Ovis aries: one gene and its partners. The protein of the gene in region 1 interacts with the protein of each later gene in a pairwise test. Links are inferred from orthologs where the notes say so. Each region holds a gene or a part of one and is shown in the gene's direction. Other genes may lie near its edges.

Region 1 (4,410 bases):
GCCTTGCACAGTGCCTGTCACATAATGAGTGCTCAGTAATTATTTGGTGAATGAAAATCCATATTGTAGTTATGGTTGAATTATAAATCTTAAATCTTCTAGTTTGTATTCTAGTATTCATTATGTTACTTCAATTACAAATGCAAAGTAAAGAAGAAATATTGATATCCAAGTTCCCCCCTCACGCTACCCCCCCAAAAAAAGTACTGTATATATATGTATGTGTGTGTGTGTTTGTACATAGACATATGTATTCATTTCTACCTTAAACATTTGAGAGCTTCAACAGAAATGAAATGACACTTGCCTTTAAGATGAACAAAAGGATGCAGGCAAATAAACAACTAAGGACACAAGTGTGATTAAAGTATAAAGTATCAGTTAACCCCCAAGAGAGCAAGCAACATATTTTTAGGAGCCACCAATAATATGTTAGTGAGACCTGACCCCACCAGGGCTTAATAAGCTAATGGTTCTGTTCTGTTCTTTCCAGCTGGTGTTTTTTAACATCCCCTTGATGGGTTACCTGTGTTGGATTTTGCTGCAGCGGTGCTTTGGTCACAGCTTCAGGTCTCATCTCCATCAAGGAAAATACTTGAAAATTATACCTGTTCACCTACTTATGTTACTGCTGTACATCTGGCATATTTATTCCTGCTACTTTCTTCACGTGACATATGGCACTCTAGCTTTTTTATTCTCCCCTTTACGGACCTGGTTGACACTGGCGACACCTGTTCTCATTCGTTGTGTTTGGACAGTGAACTCTGCTAAGCTTGGAACCTTCATAGTGCAGTTAAAAAGCCATTTGAGCTCCTGAAGTCTGTATCTCCTCATCCACCTCTGTAGCCCAGGCCTCTGCCTCAGCAGCAGGTAAAAGGCCAGTATTGATGGGCAAACATCAGGGAGCTGCTGTTCCTTGGACACCTGGGAGTTGGGGGGAATTACCTACTACTGATTCTTGCAGAATGGACTGCAGAAAACTATATAATGCCGTGATTCCTCCCTTCCTCAAGAAGGTAAAGGGTTGATTTACTTTTGTGAAGAGAAAGCTTTTATCTAGGAGATCCACAGGGCAGGGGCTGGTGGATAAGGGAGTATCTGAGGCCCACTCAGTGTGTTTTTTAGATACCTCATGTAAAGTACCTAGCACAGTGTCTGGAACTTGGCAGCCTGTAAGGAGGCCACTTTAGGGACAGGGAACGTGCAAACTTGGACCTGACCCTGACTACCCTTGTTTAGTTCCTAGTCCTTTTTTCGACAGGATTATGGGCTCTCTGCTTCCTCAGTCGGGGGTGTTTTCAACTAATCAAATACCAATAAATGAATAAGAAACAACTCGGTCTGGGTCTTGCCTGTGTCGCTAGGAGCGGGAGCGAGGCGGGGCTTTTGAGAGCGGAAGGGGTGTGGCTGGGCTTCCGAGGCGGGGCAGGTTGTTGCCGGAAGCGAAACCGTGGCCTGGAAGAGGAGCTGCGACAGCGGTGCGGCTCCGGAAGCTGTTGTGGGGGCTTGGTCCGCTGGCTCCAAACGCGGTACTGGGATGGAGAGCGCAGCTGTATCTGCAGCCCCAGACCCCACCCTGGATCCGCCTCTGGAACAGCTTCGGCACCTAGCCGGGGAGCTGCGGCAGTTGCTTCCTGGAGTGCGGGGTGAGCTGACTTAGTGAGGCCGGGTGACCGCAGGGGCGGGCTTGGGTGGGAAGGAGCCAGGCCTTGGCGGCCGCGGCGCCGGGTCCGGGCAGAGGAGGTGGGTCCGGGAGGTCGTTCCGCTTACCTGTGCTCTTTCGTTTGTCGCCGTCCGGCGCACACCCCGCACCCACTAGTCGGCGAAGCCCAGGAAACCACCAAGGAGTTTGATCGGGAGGCCTTTTGGAGAAGACTCAGTGAGTGCCTCTCCTATTGGAGACTGCTGTCTCTCATCTCTTCCCTACTCCTTTCCTTCCTGCTTCCCCCCCGCCCCAGCCTCTCTGCGGGGATACTCCTTACCTATCCTTGGTATCTCCGAGGTTGAAATATAAAACACTGATTTTTGGAGGTGTTTTTGAGACGTCTCAGCGGGCATGGGTGGAGAGGGAACGCATTATCTTCAAGGTCCGTGCAGCCGTTGCAGCCTTTTCCTTTTGGCACTAACATATTGGCTCTTGCCGCCTGCTCTGTCACTCCCCCAGATGAGGCAGCTGTGACAGTGTCAAGGGAAGCCACGACTCTGACCGTAGCCTTCTCTCGACTTCCGCTGCCGTCTCCACAGGTGGGCTTCACTTTTCTAGGATTCTTGTGCTGCTCAGTATTCCTTAAGAAGCCTCTCATTTTCTTTCCACCTTTTACACTCAAATCTGGGGATTTAATTTCCTCATCTGTCGAGTAAGGTGAAGGTTCTCACTCCACAGGATTGTTCTGAAGATCAAATTGTCAAATGCAGTAGTTGTCATGGGGTAGATGGCTCTTCTAAATATTGGTTCATTCTGAGGTCCATCCTGGTTATTTCCTTTCTGGCATTTTAAAATATACTTTCTATTTGCTAAGTGTTTTCACATACATGATCCTTTTCTGACAGATGAACAGGCAGGCTCAGAGGCTCAGTTTAAGGTAGATAAGTAGTGGAGCTAGGACTTAAATTAGGTTCTATCTGATGTTTGAGCTCCACCTTTTCTATTATACTACATAATACTCTTTTGTACTGAATTATTTTTATGCTATTATATATATTATATATTATTATATTTATATATAATAATGTAGACAGTATAAGGTTCAAAAGATATCAAAGTTAAATGTGCTAAAAAGCTTATATCTCCTGTCTTTGGTTCCTTTTGTATCATTCCATATATATGCTATGCATATTCACACTTAAGTGCATATGGCTGCTGCTTTTTACACAAGTGATAATAGTTTCTGTTGAGAAATCAGCTGGTAACCTTATGGGAGTTCTCTTGTATGTTATTTGTCACTTTTCCCTTGTTGCTTTTAATATTTTATCTTTGTCTTTAATTTTTGTCAATTTGATTACCCTGTACATGCTCAGGACAGTGGTTTTTTCATTCGTAGATGAAAAATTAAAATATGGCTTTATATGAATTATATATATTTGAATCACAGTTGCTTTCTTAGGATCTCAGCACATTAATTCTGCCAAAGAATTTTTTTTTTTTTTTTGATTCCAGTCCTTACAACGTGGTATTTTTACAAAATTATATGTTTGGATGTTGAAACAATGTCACATTGGTGTAAAAGTTTCTGAGTACTCTCAATCTTTGTACCTATCCATCTCAGACTGGTGACAGATCATTTATGGACTGGCACCATCTGTAGACCACATTTTGCATAGCACTGGCTTGGAATTTAGCAGAGCAGTGAGGACAAGGAAGATAAGGGAAAGCCAGTGACTGCCTAGAAGGAAAATAGTCAGCATTGAGCATTGTAGAGTCCATGCTAATTTCCTTTAGGTATACTGAAATTCTGTTAGAGACAGAGGCAGAGAGATAGACAACTGGTTAATGGTCTAAGATAGAGCTGACAACTTTTCTGTCAAAGGCCAAATAGTAAACATTTTAGGCTTTGCAGTCCAGCTACTCCACTCTGCCTCTGTAGTGTGAATACTATTATAGACAATTTGTAAACGCATGAGTGTGGCTGTGTCCTAGAAACATTTTATTTGCAAAAACGGGCAGTGAGCCTGATTGGGCCCTTGGGCTCTAGTTTGCCAACTCCTGGTCTAAGATATGGTGAATACCTCAAAGCTGATCACAGATATCTTGGGATATAGAGTATCAGGGATGTTTTTCCTACAGTTTCTTCTTGTCTTACTGAGTTTCTGCTCAGTACTTGGTATCCAGCTAACTCCTCCCTGGTATGTGATGAGAACAGCACAGCCTGATGCATAATAGGACTTCAGAAAATGTTTGATGATGCTGTACAGATGTCTGCTCTTTTCCCCTGTAGATGGCTTGACCACATCAATCTAATCCATTTCTTTTTTTCTTTCTGAAATTGGCTTATCATCTCCTAGGAAACGCAGAGGTTCTGTGAACAAGTGCGTGCTGCCATCAAGGCAATTATTGCAGTGTACTATTTGTTTCCCAAGGATCAGGGTAAGCCACTCCATACACATAAGTGTTCAGTTTATGGGGTAGATCTTTGCTATTGTGACAGCTTATGTCCTGAGAATTTTACCTTTTCCTCAATTTGATCATGTAATGTAACTTTCTCCCATTAAGTGCAGTCAAAGGTAGTTATATAAGTGACCTCCATAAGTAAGCCTTTGTGCTAAAGTTCAGATACTGTGTTCTCATGTCCCCTGCCTTACTTGACTCTTAATATTTTTAATTCTCACTGGCTTCTCCGTCTCTAATGCATTATAATCACCACAGATACTGCTTGGTTATCAGTGCCATCCCCAGGCTTCTTCGCCTCA
Region 2 (3,784 bases), on another chromosome or scaffold:
ACATCTGGTCGCTGGGCATCACAGCCATTGAGCTGGCCAAGGGCGAGCCTCCCAACTCCGACCTGCACCCCATGCGCGTCCTGTTCCTGATCCCCAAGAACAGCCCGCCCACGCTCGAGGGCCACCACAGCAAGCCCTTCAAGGAGTTTGTGGAGGCCTGCCTCAACAAGGACCCCCGATTTGTAAGCGCCTCCTGCCCCCAGCTCGTGAGTGGTGAGGGGGCCTGCATGGCTGAGTGTAGTTGGGGCCCCTGGCACTGGGCTCCAGAGGACAGTTGAGGGGGGTGTGTGCACGCGCATGTGCGTGTATGGAGTGGCGTGCTGGCTGTCTGTAGTGGGAGCTCAGAGGTGACAGGGCCAGAGGCCCCTCCGCTGTGCCAGGGCGGGCTCCTCTGTGCCCCCAGCCCAGGCCAGGAGGGTCTGGAGGGAGGCCCTTCCCCTGGGGAAGACAGTGTGGAGCCACCCAGCCCCCCTAGGCGCCCCTGCCACCTGGGGTCACCTAGGCTCAGCTGCCCGGCGCCTGGTGACCCCTGTGCGTCCCCGGCAGCGGCCCACCGCCAAGGAGCTCCTGAAGCACAAGTTCATCACGCGCTATACTAAGAAGACCTCTTTCCTCACGGAGCTCATCGACCGCTACAAGCGCTGGAGGTCGGAGGGCCATGGCGAGGAGTCCAGCTCCGAGGACTCCGACATGTAGGGCCTGCTCTTCCCGTGGGGCTGAGGCGGGCTCTCCAGGGCAGGGGTCGGCCTTTGGGGCTGTGAACCAGTGCACCTCAGGGCCTTCCTGACCCCCAGCCCCGTGTGACCTCCCACTGTCCCCTTCAGAGACGGAGACCCCGAGGATGGAGAGCAGGGGCCCATCTGGACGTTCCCCCCTACCATCCGGCCGAGCCCGCACGGCAAGCTGCACAAGGGGACGGCCCTGCATGGCCCCCAGAAGGTCGGCCTGGCCCCGGGCGCGCCGTAGGGAGCGGGCTGTGGGGGCACCTGCTGGGCACGCCCGCTCCCCCAGGGTGGCTCTTAGGAGACCAGACTTGGGGGGTGGCTTGCAGTTGCCCACGCCCCGCCATCTCTGCCCTGCTCACCTCCGCATGCTCTGCGTTTGTAGTCGGCAGAGCCCGTCAAGAGGCAGCCGAGGTCACAGTGCCTGTCCACGCTGGTCCGGCCCGTCTTTGGAGAGGTGAGGGCCAAGCTGGTGCGGCACAGGGTGTCTGGGTCCCTCGGGGCTCGTGAGGTTGGCCCCTTGGACCCGGCGTTTTGAGTGGAAGGACCAGAGATGGCCGGGATAAGCCGGCCTCAGGTGACCCTCAAGATCCCGAGCCTGCCGGGGTCTTCTGGGGCCCCGGGGGCTTTGAACATGAGCTGCTATCCTGGGACCTGTCACCTAGAACCACAGACACGGGGTGATCCTTCGTCTAGGGAGAGCCTGGGAGATTTCTGTCTTGGGTGTCAGGCCCTGGACAGGGAGCCCTTAAGGGCCGCTGCCCATTGGCCACGTGGCCCAGCGTCTGTGTCACTTGCTCAAGGGCAGTCAGCAGCATCCCCAGGGGTGAGTCACCAGCAGTGGGCTGTGGCCAGGTTCACACCCAGGGTGACGCTGGCCCTGGAGCCCGGGAGCAGGGGTGCATGTTGAGAGGAGGCAGCGGAGCCGCGCCAAGGGAGGTGGGGGTGGGCAGGCTCCCACCCTGGGCCCGCGGTGCCCGGGAGGGGAAGAGGGCAGGTGGGGAGGGGAGCGGGTGGAGGCGGGCTGTCCATGGGCACGGGGGCTCCTGGGGCCATGCAGCAGCGCTCTGGGGCTGGCACCTTTGGGGTGTGAGGTGGGTGGGAGGCGTGGCCACAGCCGGGCTGGCTGGGCCCCCTTCGGGTTCCTGTTCTGTGGGCTGGCCTGAGGTCAGGCTGCCGGGTGGGTGTCCAGAGAGGTGTGTGCCCTTTGCCCCTTTGTTCTGTGTGCTGGGCGAGCAGGCTGACCCGTCTCCAGCCCCCCGGCCAGGCTGCTTCCTCGTGGGGCCTCCACAGCCACGGGGTGTGAGTGGGCCCCTAGTCCCAGTGGCCAGGTTGGCGGGGCTGGCCGGGCCACTCACGCACATCTAGGCTGCGGGCTTCTGCGACTGGGGTTGGGAGAAGGCTCGTGGTTGGAGGAGGGGGGGCCAGGGCAGGCTGGGAGGCCCCGCCCGTCCTGGGAGCCCCTCCTCGGCGCTCGGGGGGACAGTGGGGCAGCGCTGCCTCCTGCTGCGCGTCACAGGTCGGGTGGGGCGGGGAGGCGCCCCCTTGGCCCCCAGTCAGGTGCCTGGGGGTGTCCGTGCAGCTTAAGGAGAAGCACAAGCGCAGCGGCGGGGGCGTGGGGGCGCTGGAGGAGCTGGAGAACGCCTTCAGCCTGGCCGAGGAGTCCTGCCCAGGCATCTCGGACAAGCTGATGGCCCACCTGGTGGAGCGGGTGCAGAGGTGAGGGCCTGGGGGCGGCGGGCTGCTGTGGGTCCTCCTCACCGGGCGGGGCTTGGCTCTGCGGGTCCTGTGTCCCCCGGCCTGGACCGCGCCCAGGGCGGAGCAGTGACCTGGCCTCTGGTCTGCAGGTTTTCCCACAGCAGAAACCACCTGACCTCAACCCGCTGAAGCCCTGTCTGCACCCGGGAGGAGAGTCTCCACCTGGAGCCGTGTGGTCGGGGCTGTGCTGACCAGGGCCCTGTGCCATCCTAGCCTCACCCCATGGGCCGTGCCCCCGCCCCGCAGAGGGCCGTGCCCTCCCACGCCCCCTCCCGGCTAGGCCAAGGCGGCGGAGGCGGCGGAGGCGGCGGGCTTGGTCTCCTTGAGGCCCCGAGGCCGGGCTGGCCCCTGGGGCTCCGCTCGCTGCCAGGCGGAGGGGCAGGGACTCGCGCGGGGCAGACCTGCCACCTCCCACCTGGCCCGCCCACCCTTGGCGGCCGTAGGTTCGCCTCTGCTGCTGGAGCAGGCACTGTGTCTTCTCATAAGGACTCGTGTTGGCCAGATTGTTGTTTTTTTAAGAAAATCAAACCTCCTTGCTTCCCTAGGTGTTCTGAGATTAAGGTGTTAGTTTTCACAGCATCTTGAGAGGCTCCTGCCACTTTCAATAAAGACCTGAACTGAGATGTGCTGGTGGCGGGCGGGGTGCTCAGGCTCCAAGGCCTCCTCACCCAAGGTGGGCACGAGCGGCCGCTGGCCGGAGAGCTGGCGGGGCAAGGCAGCACGTGGGACCAAGCATGAAGAAGCCTTTTATTCTCAGCCACTCGGCGCATGAGCACCGTACACTTCTTGGGATAAATTAGAGGGGCTTGCTGTCCACTTTTCAGAAGTGTGGGCCCGGGGGCACCAGAGAGGCTTCTGTGCCTAGACCCCTCACATCACCCAGCCTGACGGGAGGCCCGGCCCAGGAGGAGGAAGAGGAGGGCAGGTGGTTGAGGGCGGGGCAGCGCCAGCCTTGCCTGCACAGAGCGCGCCTGCTCCCCCTGCTGCCCTCCTGGCGCCTCGCGGGGCCCAGGGCAGCCCTCCCTGCCAGGTGGCGCCGGAGGCTCGCCTGCCACCAGTCTCCTGGGGGAACAAGCAGTCGTGGGGTGCGTGCTGGCCTTGCTTGCTCGGCTGTCTGCGTCTGGGGCAGGGTGGGCCTCAGGCCTCCTCCTCAGGGGTCCCGGCCCTCCCAGCTGAGGCGCTGGCTCTCTCTATCACCTCCATCCACCTGAGAGGAGGCGTAGAGGTCAGAACCGCCCCACCAACTGCTCGCCTGGGAGGCGGGGCGTGCTCTGGTCCTCAGATCGGCGGGCTTGTGCCCCAAC
Region 3 (4,556 bases), on another chromosome or scaffold:
ACTCATCCATGTCCGTCTCTCCCCCACACACCAGGTTTGAGCTAGTTCACCAAGTTAGTTCACCTGTTTGGTTCACCTTTGTGGATCATTGTCAGCACAGAGCTTAATCTATCAGACACAAGTAAATAATTGGAAGGACAGGTGAGGGGAATGAGGAAGGAGAAAAGGGGGGTTGAGAGACACCAGCGTGACCTTGTTGGAGCATGTTGGTTTAAGGTGCCCACAGCACCCAGGAGGAGAAGGGGATACAGGTGCTGATTTAGCACAACTGTGGGGAGAGGTGCAGGCTGAGGAGAGGCCATGTGCTATGCTGGAGAGGCTCATGGACCCTGGTCCCAGGGTGACAGAGTTTGAATCCTTGCTGCATATAAACCGGAAAATTGAGGTCCCTCCCCATCTCCATTTCCTCATCTAGTCCTAGGCTGCAGCGAGGGGCTCTTGAGTCCCTCCTATAAAGTGCTTGGAAATTAGTACCTGGTGCATAGTGCATGCATGCGTGTGCTCAGCTGTGTCCAGCTCTGTGCTGTGCTTAGCGGTTCAGTCGTGTCCCATAGACTTGCGACCCCATAGACTATAGCCTGCGAGGCTCTTCTGTCCATGGGATTCTCCAGGCAAGAACACTGGAGTGCGTTGCCATTCCCTTCTCCAGGGGATCTTCCCAACCCAGAGATCAAACCCATGTCTCCCTCCTCTCCTGCATTGACAGGCAGATTCTTTAATCACTGCACCACGGCCAGGTGCATAGTAAGTGACTCGTTTGAATCGGTCTCCTCCCATGGGAAAAGTCCCTTTACCAGGGTTTGGGGGAGATGACCCGGAGGTGAAGAACAGAGTTAATGACTGACCTTCAAGAGACCCATAAGTTGAAACTCGGGAATGGAGCCGGGGGTGGGGGGGTGGGGGGGGGGGGGGGGGGGGGGGGGGGGGGTGGTGTATGGGGGGAGGAAAGGTTCCAGGTGAGCAGGGCGGTGAGGAAACGGAGTAGGGACTACTTTGAGGGGGAAGGAGAGGGGGCTTTCTAAATGGTGAATTTTTTAGCTCGGATGCTAAAGGGAAGGGGGGAGGCACTCAGCTGGATAGAGGGGATGGTCAATGGGACAGGGTTGGGGGTCGTACTTGGAGTGGGGGTAGGGGGCTGGGGGATGCACTCAATCTGTCCCCTCTCCCAAGATGGGTTTTCCTGGGGATCCGTGCGGATGGCAAGTTTGGGGAACTGAAGGGCAGTCTCAGGAAGGCAGAGGGTCACGAGGGAAGTTTGAAACAAAGTTTCCACAGCAACCCAAGGCTCCGAGTTCCCAGCCCAGGCTCTTTCTGACAAAACCACTGAGACCTTCAGGCAGGATGGGAGGGACCCTTAGGAGCCGGGGACCCCGCCTCGCCCCGCCCAGTCAGGCCAGCCAGAACCCTTTATAAGTTAAGGATGGGGTCCAGTGGCCCGAGACCGAGGGTCAGTAGGTGGCGCCGGGGCTGAGCCGGCGCGGGCTACGGATTCTGCAGGAAACTCGGGCGGGACCCATAGATACAAAGGGTCCTCTACGCCCGGCTCCCTGTCCAGCGGGCCTCCAGAGGATGAATGGGGATGGCTAGGCCAATCCGAGAGCAGGATTCACAGCCGCTGGCGCAGGGGCCAATCGGATCCCTGGCGTGGCCGCGAGGCGGGGACAGAGCCAATCAGCTGTGAGGACAGGACCAGGGGGGCGGATCCGCGCGGTGTTTCAAATCGACTGGATGGGCGAGGAGCAGCTATGCACGTCGTCTGGTCAGCCTCGGGAGCTGTTGGGTGAGTGCGGGCCGGGGCGTGGTGGGGTTCTGTTCAGAAGGGACGGGAGCAGGTGGGGTGGGGGACCCCTAGTTAGGACGGGCACGGCATGTGGGGCTTCTGGGTACAGCCGGATGGACATCGGGGTGTCTGGTCAGCCCACCTCCGCGCATTGGGTCAAGGCGAGCTCGTGAAAGAGTCCCTAGCCCAGCCTGGGCCAAGTGCTGAGGCTCAGCGACGGCCGGCGGGTCCTGACTGCCTCCCTCCCAGCCTGAGGCAGATAACGGAAAGTAGCCTGGGATGAAAAGACAGTTAATTCAGACACTCACAGCAAGGGACGCCTTGCTGGCCGGCCTTGTCCAGACTCTGCCCTCTCCCGGGCCTCTATGACCTCACTTCTAGGAAGAATTCCTCCCCACGGTTGACAAGCGACCCACCCCATGGGCCCCAGGACTGGAATCTCTTTCTCTGGTACCCGGTGTCTCACTGGATCCTGGGAGTGGGATGGGGGATACCCTGCTGATCTCCCATTGATCTCCTCCCCAGGGTCTGTGGGAACAGAACAGACTCTTGAACAGTCAGATGGCTTCTCGGTGGCCAGCTGTGGGGGCTTCCCTGCGTCGGAGGTCTCTCCAGAACCAGGAACGGTTGGAGGAGAGCGAGGCCCTGCAGCCTGTAGCCGGCCACCTGGACACCTCCAGCGGGGCCCTGGGCTCCCTGCGCAGACAGTTCCAGAGGCGGCTGCCCCTGAGAGCAGTCAGCCTCAACCTCGGGGTGGGCCCCTCCTGGAAACGCCTGGAAACCCCAGAGCCAGGGCAGCAGGGCCTCCAGGCTGCAGCTCGCTCAGCTAAGAGCACCTTGGGTGCCATGTCCCAGGTAATGCCAAGTATGGATGTAGGGCTTCCTTGATGCTGAAAAATGGCTGCCCCCAAAGATCTCCCAAGAATATAGACTCTGTGAAGACAAGGTCCTTGATTTATTAGTGTCCCCAGCTCTCCAAACAATTCCTGGTACACAGTAGTGCGTGCACGCTAAGTCGCCTCAGTCATGTCTGACTCTTTGTTACCCTATGGACAGTAGGAGCCAGGCTCCTCTGACCATGGGATTCTCTAGGCAAGAATACTGGAGTGGGTTGCCAGGCCCTCCTCCAGGGGACCTTCCCAATCCAGGGATCGAGCCCATGTCTCATATCTCTTCTGCATTGGCAGGCGGTTTCTTTACCACTAGCGCCATCTGGGAAGCCCATGGCACCCAGTAGATGCTCAACAAATAGCTGAATGAGTGAATGAAAACAGGGTTGTGGAGGAAACAGAACATCATGAGACAAGATGAAAGAGCTATACTGTGATAGGAAGTTGCTAATTAGCAAAGGGCTAATGGTGGGGGAACACCAAAAACAAGCTTAGTCAGTGAAGGTGACTGGAGGAGGTGACTCCATGGAATTCGCCCAGGAAAGGGGAGGTATGAGGAGGTATGAGGAGTGTACAAGACAGGTGAACTAGTCCAGACCCAGGGTTAAAGGAGAGCAAGACGCTGAAAAGAACTGGCAGGAACTTAGTCTGGGTATGGCTGGAGGACAGAGAGCAAGACAGGGCGTGAGAAGGTAGGGCACGTGCCGAACATGTTTAGAATTATTTCACTGTCTCCTGGGGGTAGGTGTGGTCTCCCCCAGGCCTCCCCTTTGAGTCTGGGTCAATCTGTCCAGAAAGAGGGTTTGGATTTAGACCAATGCAGGCTCCATGAGCCAGAGAGGTTATGCTGCCGCCCATGCACTTATCCCTGGGGGCCTGAGCTGGGTCCCTGCTATGGACCTGTGGCCTCATGGACTCATCTGCATCCCTCACCCTGAGCCTAAAGGCTTCCTGGGTCTGTAGGACCAGCTGGTGGGCCGAGGGGTTGGGGGATGCCCTGAGAAATCGGGTAGCTCACTCCTGGCTTGTCCACTCTGACTTTTCCATGCACTGGTCACAGAGGATCCAGGAGTCCTGCCAAAGTGGCACCAAGTGGCTGGTGGAAACCCAGGTGAAAGCCAGGAGGAGGAAGAGAGGGGCCCAGAAGGGCAGTAGCCCCCCAGCTCGCAGCCTGAGCCAGAGGAGCACCCGGCTATCTGTGGCTGCCCCTGCCCACTCAACCCTGGACCCCCGGGAGAAAGAGTACCACCCCCTGTCTGTCCAGATGGGCCCCCATGCCCACCCTTGGCAACGGTCCAGAAGGGAGGCTGCCTTCCGGAGCCCCTACTCCTCGGCAGAGCCCCTCTGCTCCCCTAGGTAAGTGGGGTAGTGCCTGCCCCTCAAATGCTAACTGGGCCCTGGGGGCTACTGAGCACCTTCAGGACACCCTGAGCTGAGCCACATCCATGCTCTGGCTCAGCTCTGTGCCCCACTATGGGGGACCTGGGGAGGTCCTTTTGGGCCTGAGTTTCCCCACCTGCCAAAGGAAGAGGCGAGCTTAACTCTAAGAGTATCACAGTCACCCAAGCTCCACCAAAAGTTTTTGAAGCCACCTGGCAGGGTCGGGGGGTGGAGGCTTACCTGTCTGCAGGATCATCTATCCTTGACAATGGCCTCAGCTGTTCTCTGCCATCTGCTCCGAGCCTCTCTGACGACACTTCCTAGAATGGGGGTCTGGGGTGATCAGTTCCCAGCCCACACTGGTCATCTCTGGGGCCTGTACACCAGGTCCCAGTGCTGGGTTAGAATAGGCTCCTGCCACAGGTTTCCAGCTAGTGACTGATATGCACAGCTTTTCCTTCTGTCCAGTGAGTCCGACAGTGACCTGGAGCCCGTGGGGGCAGGAA
Region 4 (4,428 bases), on another chromosome or scaffold:
AGTCCATTCTGAAGGAGATCAACCCTGGGATTTCTTTGGAAGGAATGATGTTAAAGCTGAAACTCCTGTACTTTGGCCATCTCATGCAAAGAGTTGACTCATTGGAAAAGACTCTGATGCTGGGAGAGATTGGGGGCAGGAGGAGAAGGGGACGACCCAGGATGAGATGGCTGGATGGCATCACGGACTCGATGGACATGAGTGTGAGTGAACTCTGGGAGATGGTGATGGACAGGGAGGGCTGGCATGCTGCGATTCATGGGGTCACAAAGAGTCAGACACGACTGAGCAACTGAACTGAACTGAACCAGCCTTGCCAAGTCTGTCAAAGGTCATAACATCTACCCAACAAGGGGTTGTTTAGTTAATGAATCAAGCCAGGGTGGCTCCTTCATTAACAGCAAGTGAAGTCAGCATCTCTGACTTGGTCAGAGCACCACAAGTGCACCTGGGTGGGGTGCAGAGTTTGAGTCTTAAGCACAGGTTGGTACCAGCCAGCCTGTGGTAATAGCTCAACTCTGGGTACTATTATATCTCAGGGTTGCCAACTGAAAGGCACTCACTTTCTGCCTCTACAGGGATGAAGTCAGGAGCCACTGCAGCCCCTGTCTTTCAACAAACCCCTCAGCTCAGAATTCAGGTCTGAGATCAGGAGTGAGGCATCTGTGTTCTGGGAAAAACTGACAGAACAGGCCTTCATATATTCAGACATTTTCAGATTTTACAAGCCCAAATTCTTGACTTTCCTTGTGTCTAGAAAAGCAGTGAAATCATTAATGGGGACACCTGCTCCTCCTTACTAGCAGGAGCCTCTGCAAAATGTGCTTGACTCCATTCATTTCAATTGCTCAGACGTGTCCAACTGCACGCCAGGCTTCCCTGTCCATCACCAACTCCTGGAGCTTGCTCAAACTCATGTCCATCCAGTCGGTGATGCCATCCAACCATCTCATCTCTGTCGTCCCCTTCTCCTGCCTTCAACCTTTCTCAGCATCAGGGTCTTTTCCAATGACTCCTGACTCCACTAAAATAACACATAAGCCGACCTCCCCCCTCCCCCACTTCGGAACTGTTTCTCAGAGCTGAGTGGTTGTCTTCTAGGCTATAGCTCTCGTTTTGCCCCAAATAACTCACAGCTCTGTGTTGTACAATTTTTCAGTTGACAGGGCGTATAATCAGCCCAGCTCCCAGCTCCAAACCGGAACTTCAGCTCCGAGTATATTATTCTGGGCTCCACGTGGAGCTCGGAGACCTTGCCTCTCTAAGCACCAGACTGTGAGACAGCTCAGCAGTGACACCAAGTCCTACAACGCGCAGGGTTTCAACAGGTGTTTGTGCGGCGAAAGAAAACGCAGCACATTCCAAGCCAAGAACAAGGCACGATCTCTCAAAATACGGTCTCATCCCCAGTGAACTAAACACAAAGCCAGCTCAGCTCGGAGGAGATAGCCTAGCGTACCCGCCGCCGCCTGGATGGAGACCGGCTCCCGGCCGGCTCCCGGCGTGCCCCGAGGCCGGCGGCGCTGCGCTCCTGCTGCACGACGAGGGCGGGGCCGCGGCCGTAAAGCAGCGCCCGAGGTCACGTGGGTTTGGGTGCCAGGCGCCCTTGCGGCGTCTCGTGCAAGCGGGTCATGGCCGGCCCGGTGCGGGGCGCCGCAGGGCCCTGGGCCCTGGACCTGCTTCGGGCCCTGCCTCGTGTGAGCCTGGCTAACCTGAGGCCGAACCCGGGCTCCAGGAAACCGGTAAGGCGGGGGATGGCGCGGGAGTCCTGCGGTCGCGGGTCTAGAGACGCTACGGGAACGAGGGGCCTGTGAGCCCCTGCTCTTGAGTGATGCGAGAAGCCTGCCCCGGTAGTCCCAGCTCTCAGGTCGGGTTTAGAGGAGTAATTGCGTTAACCTGGGCTGGGAGCGAGGTCGCAGGAAGTGCAGATGGTTGTCTCATTCAGTGTTAGGTTAGCATGAAGTGCTTTTCCATTATACCTTTATCTTAAGGGGAAAGATATTTTACGTTCTGCAAGTCACTGAACACAGCTAGAAAAGCTGTTATGGGCATACTGTCACCTTAAAAATCAACTCGTTGCTTTTGCCAAGTAAGAAAAAAGTTTTCTTTATAATTTGGTGTCTTGACCTCAGAGCAGTTCGAATAGTGCCTGGCACGTAGTGGGTTTGGCTCGTTGCTGGCTGGAAGGATGAATGAGGGCCTTACCAACCTGACAGCGCAGAGGTGAAATATACTTTAAAAAGTGCATCTGCAGCTCATAAAACATTCTTCTCTCCTTCCAGGAAAGACGACGAAGAGGTCAGAGAAGAGGTAGGAAGTGTGGCAGGGGCCACAAAGGAGAACGGCAGAGAGGAACCCGGCCCCGGCTGGGCTTTGAAGGAGGCCAGACTCCATTTTACCTTCGAATCCCCAAATACGGGTTTAATGAAGGACACAGGTAAGTTTGCTTTGTTTGTGGTTTAATTTTTTTGCTTTGCTTCTTAGTGTAAAAATTTGTGATTCTGAGAATCACCGAATGATAGCTTGGTAGAAATTTAAATCCACTTCTTTAAAGCAAACTTCTGCTACCCTTCCTTTGAACCATTTTTGGTAATGAAGTTTAGCCTGACTTAGTAGAGGAAAAAAGCCAGAGGTTACACCCAGACTTGCAGAATGGAGGTAATGGTGCATGCTCCGGAGGTTTAGAATGATTTTATGTTTAAAACTCTGGCCCACTATCGTCACCCAGTAAATGGTAACTGCTCTTACTTTGAGATCCATTAATGCATAATTCATATAGTATGTTAAATTTTTCACATATTTATTTGTATAAATGAGTGAAGTAAATGTAGGAGTTTTATTTTAAACCAACTAAATTGATGCAGGAAAGCATGGGACAGAACTCTGCGTTTATCTGGAGGTCTTACAGGAAGATAAGTCTGGCTGAGTTTTCCATCTGTTGCTGCTTTTTTTCGTAGCTTCAGACGCCAGTATCAGCCTTTGAGTCTCAATAGGCTGCAGTACCTGATTGACCTGGGCCGCGTCGATCCCACACAACCTATTGACTTAACCCAGCTGGTCAACGGGCGAGGTGTTACCATCCAGCCATCTAAAAGGGACTATGGAGTCCAGCTGGTAGAGGAGGTAAGTCTGAATTAAATTTTCTTGGTAAGTTTCATGGATGACTGTTTCTGATTTCCGTATAATCAACACTGTGCCTCCTTCATTTTTATCTCTTTTGAGTTGTAACCATTATGTAGTGGTTGATTGTGTTATATTCAGTTGTGGTTTTAGAAAGCCACTGTTCCTTGTCCTGGGTGTTCTTCCTGTGTATCCATTCAGCTTGCTCCCTCACTCTCTTTGGTTCTCTGTTCAGATGTCATCCTAGTAGGAGGATCTTTTTAACTTTTTTTTTCCTTCCAAATTATTTGAGGCTTAAATTATTTTTATTATGGAGATGTTCTTTATAAAGGAACACTCGTATCTGACGGTCTGCCTTATTGTGCCCAAAAGGGTTTTTCTTTGAATATATGAACACCTGATATTTATTACCAGGCAGTGCAGGCATTTTTCATTGTCTTCCTCACTGTAATGTCAGTTCTTTTGAGTGCAGGTGCTTTGACTCATTGCTGTATTTTTAACATTGGAAATACTGGCTTGTGATAGTCACTCAGTATTTATGGAAGAAAGGGATGAATGAAATCCAGTTATGATTGTAGGGAAGAGGTTTTCTATTTAGAGAAGTTGGCCAGGAGTTTTATAGGCAGATGAACCTGTACGTTGTTAATCAACTAATGCCCCCCCCCACCCCCTTTTTCTTCTGTGTCAATAACACAGTTGATTGCTGTGTAAGTGACTTAGCGTCCACTAGAGGGAAGCATAGTTTATGGGAGAACCTTTCAGATCTTTGAAAAAGTAAACTTGTCGATAAAAGTTTTCCAAATTAATGATTTGAAGAGAGAATACCAAATACAGGATTAAGCCTCAGTATTCTACTTTATTCTACTTTAGGCATATCAAGGAACATGGTTATAAAGTAACAGAAAAACCCATGACCTCATGAGACCTTAAACTGCACATCCCAACAGCTTTGGACATATGTCTATTAAACTAGCAAAAATCATTCTGAAATCTATTGGTTGAGTATGTACAGTTATTCATCATTTACAGCTTTGTAAACCAGTTGCCCTTTTCTGGATTTCAGATTTGCAGTCAATATTGGGTAAATAAGATGGTTTTGATCTTTTCAGCATAAAATCACCAATTTAGGAACATGTGTCCTAAGGTAAAACAAGATAAAAGAAACTTAATTGATATAAAGAAATACTAAATAGGCTTCTTACAGCACTGAAAATGCTGGAACTAACACTAGTGCCCAGAGACAGGGAAATGGTTAAGCAGTCTATGGATAGTAATGAGAAATGTCACGTAACATGGCAAGACCTTGTT
Region 5 (3,661 bases), on another chromosome or scaffold:
GGAAGGTCATATTTGTGTCTCAGTTTACCTTGGTTCAAAGGACTGAGCAATCAGACTAAGAACGTATTCATTCCTTCATTCAACAAACATTCAGTTTTTAATTTTGCCTCCTATATTCTAAGCACTGGGAACATTATGAGTAAAACAAATAAACCTTGTCCCCATGAAGAATACGTTCCTGTGGGATGACAGGCTATACCCAAATACATTTATACTATGATGTCAGTAGTGAAAGGATATGAAGAAATACTAAGGCAAAGTAATACAACAGTGAGTGTTGGCGGGTGGGAGGAGTCATCTCTTACTGCCCCACCAGGGCTAAGGCCACATTGAAAGGCCATGCAGTGGGCCAGAAAGCTTATAGGAACTAATTCCAACTTTTACTTCTTTTCTGTCCTTTAAAATCAAAATTTCCACTTAGTCTTATCTTTTAATTCTTTGATTCTTTAATTCAATGATAAATAGCTTATATGAAAAGGTAAGTACATGCATGTAAACACACACAACTAGGAATATTACATTTCATCAAATTACTGTCCAGATGGTCCAGTTCAGCTCATGCTTGCTTATGACCTCATAATGGTGCATCCTTGGAATTATGATCAATAAAACACACATGTTTAATAGCTTCTATTAAAAATCATCACAGATGCTGATTATCTTATTTAAGCCAGTGTTAATACACTGTAACTAATACAGTTCCATTCTATCAGATTCTCCCCCCTGGATAAGTAGCAAACTAGCAAGAAGGCAAAATCAGGTCAAAACTTAAAGACATCAAGAATATCCTTTCCCTTGTTCTTACCACCTCTTAAATATGGAGACACTAAACGATTCCCCTCAATTCTACCCACCTGGAAATCCGTTGCCTAGATGAACAGATCTCTTTCTTTTCCTTCCTGCTGTCCTTATTTCACAGCCAGAGTGTTGCGCTGAATCTGAGGTCTCCTCCAGTCCTTAGTCTCTGTGAATTCCCACTTAACCTCTCCCATCTTCAGGCAAGAATGCCACCCACTATCACAGCCAGCCAGTAGCCTGTCTGCATGGAGTGTATACACAGGCTAAGCCTTGGGCTTTTCAATCCTAGATGAATGGCTACCAGAAAAAGATCAAAGATGCTACTGAAAAAATGATGGCTCTTGTTGCTGAGCTGTCCATGAAACAAGCTATGGCCATTGAACTCCAAAAGGAAGTCAAGGAGAAGGAAGAGTTCATCTTCACTTGCAATTCCAGGATGGAAAAGGGTCTTCCCCTCAATAAAGAGATTGAGAGAGAATGGCTGAAAGTACTTCGAGATGAAGAAATGTACGCCTTGGCCATCGCTGAAAAGTCTCGGGTAAGCTGTGGCTTCTTTATTTTCTACATTGCATTTATAAAGTGTGCCAGGAAGGGCTGTTTCAGGGGTTGTCAATCCTCCTGAAATACATGAAATTTTTCTACTCCGCAGCACACAGAGTCCTAACAACTGATTAGAGAGAAGTTTTGCCTTTTTTAAGCTATTATGTACGTAGTCAAAGTACAACAGTGCGAAGGGTCAGAATGTTCCCTGGAGAGCATTTGGCAAGCACCAAGTCCCACGCCAGGGCCTCCTGCTAGCACGGCAATGACCAGGCTGGCACTGGTTCTGTCTTAGGTCTCCAGTCTCTGTCTTTGCAGCCCTGCTCGGACCATACCTTGCTCTTCGATGTCCATCTGCTGTGGCCACCACAGCATATTGTAAGGCCTCAAGCATATGCTCATCACAGGCTTCTGAAGACTCTGCATTTGGTGCAGAAGCGATGACTCCAGTGCCACCCTTCTCCCACCAAGGACCTAACTCTATCACTGGCCCCACCTAGGGGCTTTGTGTCCAGTTCTTTTCCTACTCCCATGATTTTTCAATAATCTTAGAGTGGAATTAGGCATCTCTTTCAAAAGAGACCTACAACTTACTCTTGACTACGGGGCAGACATCCCCAGAAGATCACTATTCACTCTCTAAGCCAAGAAAAAACTGTACTCCAAACACATACTAAGAATTCCTGAAAATAGGGTCTGACTTATCATTCTCACACTCACTGCCTAGGATTGTATTTTTGAAGGCATTCAGATTTTTACCTGTGGTGTCCCAGCTGTCATTTACCTGTCTCCATTTTCCCCCCCAAGTTCTTTTTAATGCTATAAGAGATTCCTATTTTCCAGAAACACAGGCAGAATCTTGAGGCTCAAAGCAAGCTGCTGACTACTTTCCTCTAATTCTCTTTTACTCCTTATCTCTTTCTTGGTACCATTTGCTCACCAGTGACCTACCAAAGGAAAAAGATTATCCTGCCTTTGTCACAGACATGGAAATAAATAACTAGTGCTTAATGTAAGATACTGAGTTTGAAATGTGGTGACTTTAGGCCCTACCAACCAGTTTATGGTAAACCCTAAACCCCAGGAACAGAGTGATGCTTGAGCAACATGGTTCATTCTAGTGAGAGGAAATGTGTGTGGGGGTGGGTGTGTTTGGTGACTCTACCCTCACACCCTTTTGTCCCTTAGAATGTTGGCCAGCATAGCCAACGGGTGCTCAGACCCAGCTGTGTCTGATGGGCCCTGGGGATAAAGTGATTTAACCACTGTTTTCAAAAACTGAAAAGGATAAATCATTCTTTGCAGGAGTTCTTGGAAGCTGAAACTCGCCAGCTGCCCAATGGTGTTTACACGACTGCAGAGCAGCGTCCAAATGCCTACATCCCAGAGGCAGAGGCCACTCTCCCTCTGCCAAAACCGTATGGCGCTCTGGCTCCTTTCAAACCCAGTGAACCTGGGGCCAACATAAGACACATAAGGAAACCTGTTATAAAGCCAATTGAAATCTGAGCATGTGAACCAACCCAGGCTTCTGAAGGAGATACTTCAACCAGGCTTTTTCACATCCACAGCTGAAAAATGTCAGCAAACAGCCCTAAATTACAAACAAACACAGTATCCACAATTACCCAACAGACAACGACATATACTTCCTTTCACACCCATCGATTTTTCTTTTTCACTCCATCTCTTGATTACATTTCAGAAATATATAGTAGTCTGAGTGCTATACAAATGCGATAAAAATAAACACCTTTTCAACAAAGTACAGAAATTGGCAGTGGTCTTTATTACAGAAAGAAAAGGAGATCCTGCTCAATATACTCACTTTAAAGAGAAAGAAAAAATGGTTTAAAAGAAAAATATCCCAAGTATCACAGGGGCATGACTCATTTTGGTAAGTAAATAGCTATATTGGAAGTTGATGTTGGTAAATCTAAACTGAAAAGCAGTAAGGGACCTTGACTTTTTTAAAGTGACATTATAAATGATTCTGTTTACAAATAAAGAATCCTTTTGTGCAAAACATTCATGCCCTATTTTTCCTTTCTTAAAACTAGATTTTCCACAATATTACAGGCAAATATGCTAGTGATTACTTTCTTTTGATGCCACATCTTTCAAAATTTCAATGAAAATATTTATAACTCTGCATGTGAAAGAGTTGAAAATGAGGCCAGTTTCACTTATTTCATTACTCTATATTGTATTGCACCCAAATATACTTTCATGATTCTGTTTACTTTCTCATATAAAAATACACAAGTAGATTTGAAGCCTGTGGTTCTTCCACTCATTAATATGCTCAAACTACTGTCATTTC
Region 6 (4,435 bases), on another chromosome or scaffold:
CTTCCCACCCCAGGATTGAACCCATGTCCCCTGCTTTGGCAAGTGGATTCCCAACCACTGGACCACCCGAGAAGTCACACTTCTCTTGCTTTTCGAGCAGAGAGTGAATGTCTCTATCCAGTCATGGTGATATCAGCGTGTTGCCTGATCTTTGGCCAGGACCTCCAGCATATATATTATAGCAGAAGGTGAAGGTGAAGGTGAAGTCGCTCAGTTGTGTCCGACTCTGCGACCCCATGGACTATAACCTACTAGGCTTCTCCGTCCATGGGATTCTCCAGGCAAGAATACTGGACTGGATCGCCATTTCCTTCTCCAAGGGATCTTCCCAACCCAGGGATCGAACCCGGGTCTCCCGCATTGGAGGCAGACGCTTTAACCTCTGAGCCACCAGGGAAGCCCATATTATAGCAGAAGCAGTGTAAAATATTGGTCTAACATCTATGCACTGAGAAACGATACCAGGTTCAAATCATACCTCTCCTTATTCAAGTTTGGACACAAGCTACCTAACCTCCCCAAGTTCCAGTTTTCTCATTGATAAGATGGATGCAATAATAATGCCTTACTCTTGGAGTTGTTGAAAGGATCATATATAATAATCCATAAGAAGCACTTATCATGGTGACTATTGAGCTCTCAATATATATTATTTTTATAAAATATCCTTTCTAAAACTATAGACTTATTTTAAAGGACTCAAACTTGTTTTATTAACCAAGAACCTGCTTAATTTGGACCTGAAATGTTTTTTTAAGATTAAAATCTTTGCTATGGTCAAAGAGCATGTTTTAGTGCTACTCTTTTTATTCACCCATGAAAGCAATTTCTGTGCTCTGCTGCAATAAACTGACCGTATTGTCTGCCTACTCTGCCTGCCTTGGATATGCCAACTATTCCAAGCCTTCCTTACCTATGAATACGTCCTCACACTGTTCTCCTGCATTTCTCTCCCACAACATATTTGAGGCAGTTATCACAATACTCATGGACATTTTTCCTCTCTTTCTTCTCTTTCAATAAGAATTCTTAATTGTGCAGACTCAGGATTGAGAGTGAGCAAGATGCCTAAGCACACACACACACGCACACACACGTATTCATTCATTCATGCCCATATAATTTAATACAGTATAGGGCTCAATTTATGGACTCTTTTTCAAAGTGTTAAGGACCGAAGCACTTCTTAAAAATGTAAGATCAACCAAAATTTTTAAAGATTCAAATAGTACTCTCATTGACTTTTATAAACATTTTTGGAGACTGAAGGAGACATTATGTGAGGTTTCCTTTTGTCCCAGTGGATAATTGAAGAGCCATTCATTGCCCAGTCCTGACACTGCTTTTCCCCATTGGGTCTCTGTAAGAGTCACATGCTTCAGACATCTTTGAAAAGAATCTTCTGAGGCTTCAGCATCTTATTTGAGTCTCCTGAATCTCACCTACCACTGGGTTGAATTCTCATCCATCACAATGAGCAACAAATTCCTAGGCACCTGGAAACTTGTCTCCAGTGAGAACTTTGATGAGTACATGAAAGCTCTGGGTAAGAAATGTTCTTTGTTGTTCTAATTAAGAAGATCCTTTTTGAGAAAAATGCATTGACTATTTCCTTCTAACTCCTTTCCCAGGAGTCTGGGAGCTTCACAGGTTGAAGTACAACCCTCTTCTGGGATTAATCTTCCATGGTGTCAATCAGATAATTTTCACTATGTTTGTGGCAATTTTAATAGACTTTAACTCAAATAAGAGCTGCTTAAATGCATTAGAATGCCTACCGATTTCAAAGGCAGTTTCATATCAATAGGATTTTGGTTCAAACCCAGAGGAAAGAAATCTTAGAAACTTAGTCAACCCATTCTTCAGCTCTTCTGAAAGTTAGTTTTATAACAACTAAAGTGTTCATGAAGTAAAGAGTTAAATATACTAAAGTTAATGGAAAACCTCCATTTAAAAGTGCTATTTAGCTAAGCCAGAATTTTCTTTCTCTACCTCTAGATTGTCTGATATTACATAAGTATGTGGATAAATGTTTGTGAAAAGTGAATGCTTCATAAAGCAGGATATTCAGTCTAGGAAAGTTATTGAGGAAAAAGGAAGTTTGTTGTGACAATGAATTCCAGTTCGATTACACTAATATCATGCTTTCCTTCAGTTGGAGCAGTGGATAGAGACAGAAAGTCTAGTCATGACCACCATCAGCTTTATTTGCAGCTATTTCTAGGAAATGTTCCATAGATATGAGCACAAGTGGTGTGAACAGTCTTTGGAAATTTCCAGAGCTGTATAAATAAGGAGAGAAAGAAGCCAATGACCTCAGGTATCTATGGTCATCAAAGTACCAGTAATTTTACCTATTCAGAAAGCTTTTAAGAAGGCTTCTATTTTTAGATAAAATAAGCAAAATCATGTTGCATTGCCTGGAAAACTATGGGAGCTTATGGGAATAGATTCATACTCTAAGTTTGGTTAGATCTATGGATTTCACTGTACAGCTGAGACAGAAGCAAAATATAAGAACATCTCAATAAAAGACTCCCTAACTGAATCATTGTCAAATTTTAAAGTGCAAAAGGACACCTTGAGGCTTGGTGAAATGTAGATTCTTAGGCTCTATTGCAGAAGTTTAGTTTGAAAAACATAGTCCAAAATCACATCAAATAAGAAACAATTAATCAGAATCAGAAAAAAAGAATACAGCTCATAATCCTTTATTGGCTCTAATTCTTCACACTTCTTTATGTATGCTGCTGCTGCTAAGTCGCTTCAGTCGTATCCGACTCTGTGCAACCCCATAGATGGCAGCCCATCAGGCTCCCCCGTCCCTGGGATTCTCCAGGCAAGAACACTGGAGTGGGTTGCCATTTCCTTCTCCAATGCAGAAAAGTGAAAAGTGAAAGTGAAATCGCTCAGTCGTGTCCGACTCTTAGCGACCCCATGGACTGCAGCCTACCAGGCTCCTCCGTCCATGGGATTTTTCAGGCAAGAGTACTGGAGTGGGGTGCCATCGCCTTCTCTGACTTTATGTATATATAGCCATAAATACATGTATATTTATATATAACTAGGTTTTTTCTTTTTGTGTCTCTCTCATTTTACATTTCTATTTTTCTATGTATTTCTATAATCGAGTAATACAGTAATGATACTTGAGTCTAATTTTGTTTTGCTATCAAATGGAAAAATATTTTTTAATTATTTTATTTATCTCTATCATTTGCAGTGGTACAAATAATTTAGGGACTACAACAAACTTTCAGAAATGAGTTTCCATCAAGGATGTGGGAAGAATTCTTATCTATATCTGTAATATATTACAGAGGGAAAAAACCATAGAAGAGCATATATAAGTCATAGTCTCATTTTAAAAATATATCTACAATATTTATTTGTACAAACTAAAATGCCTGGAATGATCCATACAAAACTCTAATTAGTGCTTCTCAATGGAGCATGGGATTGGATAAGGTAAAAGTAGATGACTTGCACTATTTAGGCTAAATACTTCTGTGTTTAAAATCTTCAGACATTACTATTGTAATAACAAAATTTTAAATATCCATGTTGGTGGGCATGTGTTTCCATCAGGTGATGAAACATGGGAGGAGATCCTTAGTAGTAAGTGATATTATCTGCCACCTACACACACGAAGCACAGCTGAGCATAAAATGTAACCACCCATATAATCCCTTTAGGTAGATGCTCTCTGAGTCAACAAAATTCTAACACTATCTTGATTTTCAGGTGTGGGATTAGCCACCAGAAAACTGGGAAACTTGGCCAAACCCAGAGTGATCATCAGCAAGAAAGGGGATATTATAACCATAAGAACTGAAAGTCCCTTTAAAAACACAGAGATCTCCTTCAAGCTAGGCCAGGAATTTGAAGAAACCACAGCTGACAATAGAAAAACAAAGGTAAACTTTATTGTTTCTCTTCAAAGTTAGTTCCATCAACTGCTTTGAGACAGATTATTCCCACTAGTGTTCAAAAGGGTAGCCCACTTCATTCTGTTGAAAAATGAATGTGCCTCATGAAACATCTGTTATGAAAATGATTCAGTACTGAATGAACTGCTTCTTTAATCAAAGTCTTAGAAATTCAATTATATGAATGTGTCTCTGCAGAGCACTGTAACCTTGGCAAGAGGCTCACTGAATCAAGTACAGAAATGGGATGGCAAAGAGACAACAATAAAGAGAAAGTTGGTGGATGGAAAAATGGTGGTGGTGAGTAATTTCACTCTAACTATGGAAATAATGCATTTAAATAGAGAAAATGGTTATGTTATTTTCAAAACAGTCTTTCTTCTTTGGACTACAAATGGAAAAAATGGTTAAGAATAAAGGCAGAGTTAATGTTTGATATTCAAACCATAGAGTCATCTACAGGTACTTCAGGTTCAGATTCAAGATTTAGAAATGACAAAACCTA
Region 7 (4,448 bases), on another chromosome or scaffold:
AAGGATTCCTCTCTCCAGAAGACATAAAGCACTTCTTCCTCCACCAGTCACACAGCACAGAAGACCCTATTTTATCTATGACGCCAGTAACTCATCCACCAAGCTGCTCAAGCCAGAGACATGGGAGTCATTCCTGCCATCTCCCACTTTCTCAGCCCCACATCCAATCCACCAAAATCTCTCATCTGTTTTCTCATCACAAACACTACCAGCACCCAAGTGCAAGCTACAGATGTCACCTGGATTGCACTCTAATTGGGCTCTCTTTGACTCTTGGTTCACCCAACTCATTCCTCACTGGATCATGCCACTCCCCAGATCCCCAAAACTTATCAGCAGCTTCCCGCTACCCCTAGGCTACAAAATCTTGGCTGATCTTGGCCCTCACCTCTCCAGCCTTATCCCAGGTCACTCTCCCCCTTGCTCTTTATTCAGCCCCACCCTGCTGAGCTCCTGGTACATAATAAACATTCACCACATGTCTGCACAATGAATGAAGGGGCTATTTCAACTGAGTAAACTAACTGCCCCAGAAGTCATGCTCTGTGGTCCAAGAGACAAAAGCCTTTGGGCCAACCCTGTAGGACTCCTCCACTACCCAGGGCTAGATCTCCCCTTTCTAAGTGGCAGTACCCTGACCACAAACGGGAGGCAGAGGCATGCAGTCGGCCATCACTGGCCGGGCTATCTGGCAGCTTGGGCTGCAGAGAGGGGAGCCCAAGGCTCAGTACTGACCTCCTCGGCATTCTCCAAGTCATCGAGCCCTTCATCCTCCTCCACGTCATCAAAGTCGTCTCCATCAAAACTGAACAAGTGTAAGAAGCCCGTTAGTTAGAGCATCACTTATTAGAATCAAAGTGGGCAGAAATCTGAGTCTCATGTGATACGTAGGAGGCTCTCAATAAATATCCACCTAACCAGTGAATCATTCAATAAACCAGTCATCTGACGTCCTCATCTTAACTATGGGCCTCTTCTAGAAAGAGACCCCAGCTGAATCAACATTTGGTACAGACAGACATAGAGCCCGACTCAGTGGAAGTTTGCTGAAAGATACTTTTTCACTGATCCTCTCTGGACCCTCGAGTCGGAGCCTTTTCCGCGCCCAGCCTCTGACCGGGTCTATGCTCCTAGTTCCCAGCCTTTCCCTTCTCCGGCTCTGCGGACGCCCTCACCACCCCCAGTCCTAAACCTCTGGCTCAACTTCCTTCGACCCTGGCTCCTGCTTCATCCGCCCCTTCTGAGTCTTCGGAAAAGTCGTTTCGCTCCCTCACTCACTTGTCCTCGTTGTCTGACATGACGCCCGCGCAGCAGCCACCGGGTTCCGAGACCCAAACCCGCGCGGAGACCGGCGAACAGCGTACCTCCGCCTCGCGCGATGCCAAGAGTACTCGGCGCCTGCGCTGTGACCTAGCGGTAATCACTTCCGGGAGGCAGGCGGGGCGAGAAATAGGCACATGCGCGGAGCAGTTTGTCTGCGTTACCATGGTAGCCGGAGCCGCGCTTGCTGCAAGCTCTAGTGGCTGAGATCTCAAAAGTATTTCTGGGAGGGACCAGGCGCGGCTGCTGCTTCAGAGCCTTGGTTACGATCTCCGGAGCCCAGCCGCCGCTCTCTGTGAGGAGAGAGGCCACCCAGCCGGGGTCTTACTTTAGGGTGAGGTTTCCCGTTTGGGCGTATCACACAACGGGCACGGCTACCCTCACTCCCCTTTCCTCCCGAGGGGGCTTCCCTGCCACAGGCGCCAGGTCAGGATGAGGTCTCTGTTCGCGTGTATATATCTGCCAGTGGATCTGTTCGAGGTGGGAGGATCGGGCACTGTCGCGATGTTGACAGGCGGCATCACGATCTCTTGAGACCCTACACCCGCTCCCAAACTTTGGGTGGTGTTGAGGGTGTGAGAAGAGATTGGATCTGGGAGACCGGGAATGTTTCATTGGGTTTTTCCCTCTTCAGAGCCCTCCCATGGCTTCCCAGGAGAGGGTGGAGACGGTGACCAAAGGAACAGGGTTCTGGCGCTGTCCCAAGCCGACCACTTACACCCCAGGGACCTGCGAGCTGCTCAGAGGTCAGTGCATTAAAGGGCACAAGAAGAGCGGTGGTTACAGTTACCCTCTGTTTCTCAGTTCTCCCCTACATGACTTATGGCTTAGTAATTGTATTTTCAGTTTACAGATAAGAAGCCTGGAGTTCAGAAAGGTTCAGGCGTCCAGCTCCTACAACTTGGAAGTGACCCAAAGTCAAAGAACTAAGAATTTCAGAGTGGTTAACTCCCATGAACCCCTTAGATCACACTTTCAGTTTCCCCAGGGAAGACTTATTTGCTCTCCACCCATCATCACCACAGTGGAACCAACTGTTATGCATCTGCACACTGATGCTACTGCTACCGCTAAGTTGCGTCAGTCGTGTCCAACTCTGTGCAACCCCATAGACAGCAGCCCAACAGGCTCCTCTGTCCCTGGGATTCTCCAGGCAAGAACACTAGAGTGGGTTGCCATTTCCTTCTCCAGTGCATGAAAGTGGAAAGTGAAAGTGAAGTCGCTCAGTCGTGTCCAACTTTTAGGGACCCCATGGGCAGCAGCAGCCCAACAGGCTCCTCTGCCCATGGGATTCTCCAGGCAAGAGTACTGGAGTGGGTTGCCATTGCCTTCTCCTAATAGTCTGCACACTACCAAATACCTTTTCCTTCACTGGGCTTAGTGCAACCTGTACTCAGATACCTAGTGTGTTCCACTGAATTAACATTGAATTAACATTCAGTTCATGAACGCCATCAGGGCATGATGCCTGTTTTGGCTCACATTTGTAGCTCCAGCCCCTGGCACGTGCTCAATGAATACTTGTTCATTCACTGTTTCATTCACTCAACAAAAATAGTTTTAAAGCCCACTGTGTGCTTTAGACATTATCCCGGGTGCTGAAAACACAGCGGTAAAGAAAAGAAATAAGCAAAAATTATTGTTCCCTTGGAGCTAATATTCTAGGAGGAAAGTAACAAATAATAAATAAGGTATATAGAACTTAGATGGTGATGAGTGGTATAGGGGGAAAAATGTAGAAAAGGAAGGGAATTCCCATGTGGTCCAGTGGTTAGGGCTCAGTATTTTCAGTGCTGGGAGGCCCAGGTTCAATCCCTGTTCAAGGAACTCAAATCCCACAAGCCAAGTACGCAGGCACCCAGAATGGGAGCAGGAGGCGATACAGTATTAAGTTTCAGTGGGGTGAGATGAGGCGTCTGCTTGCAGCCCAGGAAGCCTCACCAAGGTGCTTTGTTTTGCAGTGATGATGAAGGAATCCAAACTGACTAACTTCCAACAGCGCCACATCATGGACACCATGAAACGTAAGAGGCTGACCACAGAGGCTTCCCGGGGAGAGGAATTCTGGGTCACATTTTAATGCTCTCTCCATGTTGAGGAGCAGGGGACCTAATTTTAAACACACACACACACACACACACACACACACAAACAAAATTTGAATAGTATTTCTGACCCTTGCTCTTGGGGAATTGACCTTGCAGGGTCTTGGTCTTTGCTTCTTCACAAGACATGGGTCCCAGTCCATGAGCCTCTCCCACAGTCCAGCTCTAGCCGGCCTTCCTAACAGGGCATCAGCCCATTCGGGACTTCCTGCCCAGTCAGACAGTCTGAACGCTGTCAAGTCCGCAATCTCTCCCACCCTCTTACACACATAACATATGAGCTCTCCAGACGAGAGGCCTGTGTGTGTCTTATGCATAGTTTTATTCATTCTAGCTTAGCTGGCAGAAACACGATTACTGGCAGGCTTCCAACTTAGGAAAACTATGCAAAACTTTTCCATCTTTCACCTCTGACCACACACTGTATTATTTATTTTTAAGGAAAAAAAAAAAAAACTGAAGGTAACAAGGTGCCCTCTAAGATCTTGAGAACAACCTTGCTTTCTGAGATTTAACTGAATCAGCTTTTAGGGGATCAGAACAGAGATCTGTAAAGTTACCTTTAAGAGGATACCAGAAGGTTCAAGCCTGCCAGGTTTCACGCAAATCTACCAATAGCTATTGCCTTCTTTCAAGAAAGAAGGTGCCTATCAGGAGACATCTGGTCAACCACAGAAACTGGAATGGGAGAGTCAGAGAGACAAATACTGACTGCCCAGTGCTGGCTGGGGGAGGGAGGCTCCATCAGGTCAGTTCAGAAGTCAGATCTCCTTCCTTTTTGTGGACAAGGACAACTCAGGCTGCCAGAGCCTAACACCACAACACAGCTGAGTCACATAACTCAATTTCCAAACTCAAGTCATCTACTAATCATCTGATGTCCCTTACAGATCCCCTGGAGAAGGGAATGGCAACCCACTCCAGTATTCTTGCCTGGAGAATCCCATGGACAGAGGAGCTTGGCAGACTATAGTCCATGGGTCGCATAGAGTCAGACATGACTGAGCAACTAACCCTTCCTTC

The links.
Region 2: the proteins of CCNDBP1 (region 1) and STK25 interact in binary tests that used the Homo sapiens proteins (3 or more experiments, as listed by UniProt). The two-hybrid records come from large-scale screens. The link is inferred for Ovis aries from reciprocal best matches to the Homo sapiens genes CCNDBP1 and STK25.
Region 3: the proteins of CCNDBP1 (region 1) and PIMREG interact in binary tests that used the Homo sapiens proteins (3 or more experiments, as listed by UniProt). The two-hybrid records come from large-scale screens. The link is inferred for Ovis aries from reciprocal best matches to the Homo sapiens genes CCNDBP1 and PIMREG.
Region 4: the proteins of CCNDBP1 (region 1) and MRPL15 interact in binary tests that used the Homo sapiens proteins (3 or more experiments, as listed by UniProt). The two-hybrid records come from large-scale screens. The link is inferred for Ovis aries from reciprocal best matches to the Homo sapiens genes CCNDBP1 and MRPL15.
Region 5: the proteins of CCNDBP1 (region 1) and CCDC146 interact in binary tests that used the Homo sapiens proteins (3 or more experiments, as listed by UniProt). The two-hybrid records come from large-scale screens. The link is inferred for Ovis aries from reciprocal best matches to the Homo sapiens genes CCNDBP1 and CCDC146.
Region 6: the proteins of CCNDBP1 (region 1) and myelin P2 protein interact in binary tests that used the Homo sapiens proteins (3 or more experiments, as listed by UniProt). The two-hybrid records come from large-scale screens. The link is inferred for Ovis aries from reciprocal best matches to the Homo sapiens genes CCNDBP1 and PMP2.
Region 7: the proteins of CCNDBP1 (region 1) and C3H22orf23 interact in binary tests that used the Homo sapiens proteins (3 or more experiments, as listed by UniProt). The two-hybrid records come from large-scale screens. The link is inferred for Ovis aries from reciprocal best matches to the Homo sapiens genes CCNDBP1 and C22orf23.

Annotation. Positions count from the first base shown.
Region 1 is NC_056060.1:36,639,032-36,643,441, forward strand, and holds the start of CCNDBP1 (cyclin-D1-binding protein 1), read left to right. Parts: upstream 1-1,491; 5' UTR 1,492-1,540; coding exon 1,541-1,649; intron 1,650-1,822; coding exon 1,823-1,882; intron 1,883-2,167; coding exon 2,168-2,247; intron 2,248-4,005; coding exon 4,006-4,087; intron 4,088-4,410. Other genes in the region: TMEM62 (transmembrane protein 62), read left to right, coding at 494-820. UniProt on the Homo sapiens protein: May negatively regulate cell cycle progression. May act at least in part via inhibition of the cyclin-D1/CDK4 complex, thereby preventing phosphorylation of RB1 and blocking E2F-dependent transcription.
Region 2 is NC_056054.1:373,746-377,529, forward strand, and holds the end of STK25 (serine/threonine-protein kinase 25), read left to right. Parts: coding exon 1-182; intron 183-546; coding exon 547-692; intron 693-824; coding exon 825-939; intron 940-1,107; coding exon 1,108-1,179; intron 1,180-2,304; coding exon 2,305-2,441; intron 2,442-2,569; coding exon 2,570-2,609; 3' UTR 2,610-3,101; downstream 3,102-3,784. Other genes in the region: FARP2 (FERM, ARHGEF and pleckstrin domain-containing protein 2), read right to left, coding at 3,618-3,687. UniProt on the Homo sapiens protein: Oxidant stress-activated serine/threonine kinase that may play a role in the response to environmental stress.
Region 3 is NC_056064.1:25,303,632-25,308,187, reverse strand, and holds the start of PIMREG (protein PIMREG), read left to right. Parts: upstream 1-1,745; 5' UTR 1,746-1,780; intron 1,781-2,305; 5' UTR 2,306-2,341; coding exon 2,342-2,635; intron 2,636-3,730; coding exon 3,731-4,026; intron 4,027-4,518; coding exon 4,519-4,556. UniProt on the Homo sapiens protein: During mitosis, may play a role in the control of metaphase-to-anaphase transition.
Region 4 is NC_056062.1:35,000,887-35,005,314, forward strand, and holds the start of MRPL15 (large ribosomal subunit protein uL15m), read left to right. Parts: upstream 1-1,608; 5' UTR 1,609-1,631; coding exon 1,632-1,742; intron 1,743-2,282; coding exon 2,283-2,437; intron 2,438-2,957; coding exon 2,958-3,123; intron 3,124-4,428.
Region 5 is NC_056057.1:45,402,455-45,406,115, reverse strand, and holds the end of CCDC146 (coiled-coil domain-containing protein 146), read left to right. Parts: intron 1-1,087; coding exon 1,088-1,336; intron 1,337-2,643; coding exon 2,644-2,847; 3' UTR 2,848-3,106; downstream 3,107-3,661. UniProt on the Homo sapiens protein: Essential for sperm flagellum biogenesis and male fertility.
Region 6 is NC_056062.1:57,729,389-57,733,823, reverse strand, and holds the start of myelin P2 protein, read left to right. Parts: upstream 1-1,418; 5' UTR 1,419-1,473; coding exon 1,474-1,546; intron 1,547-3,745; coding exon 3,746-3,918; intron 3,919-4,128; coding exon 4,129-4,230; intron 4,231-4,435.
Region 7 is NC_056056.1:215,574,063-215,578,510, reverse strand, and holds the start of C3H22orf23 (UPF0193 protein EVG1), read left to right. Parts: upstream 1-1,451; 5' UTR 1,452-1,654; intron 1,655-1,954; 5' UTR 1,955-1,963; coding exon 1,964-2,066; intron 2,067-3,281; coding exon 3,282-3,344; intron 3,345-4,448. Other genes in the region: POLR2F (DNA-directed RNA polymerases I, II, and III subunit RPABC2), read right to left, coding at 736-805, 1,279-1,298.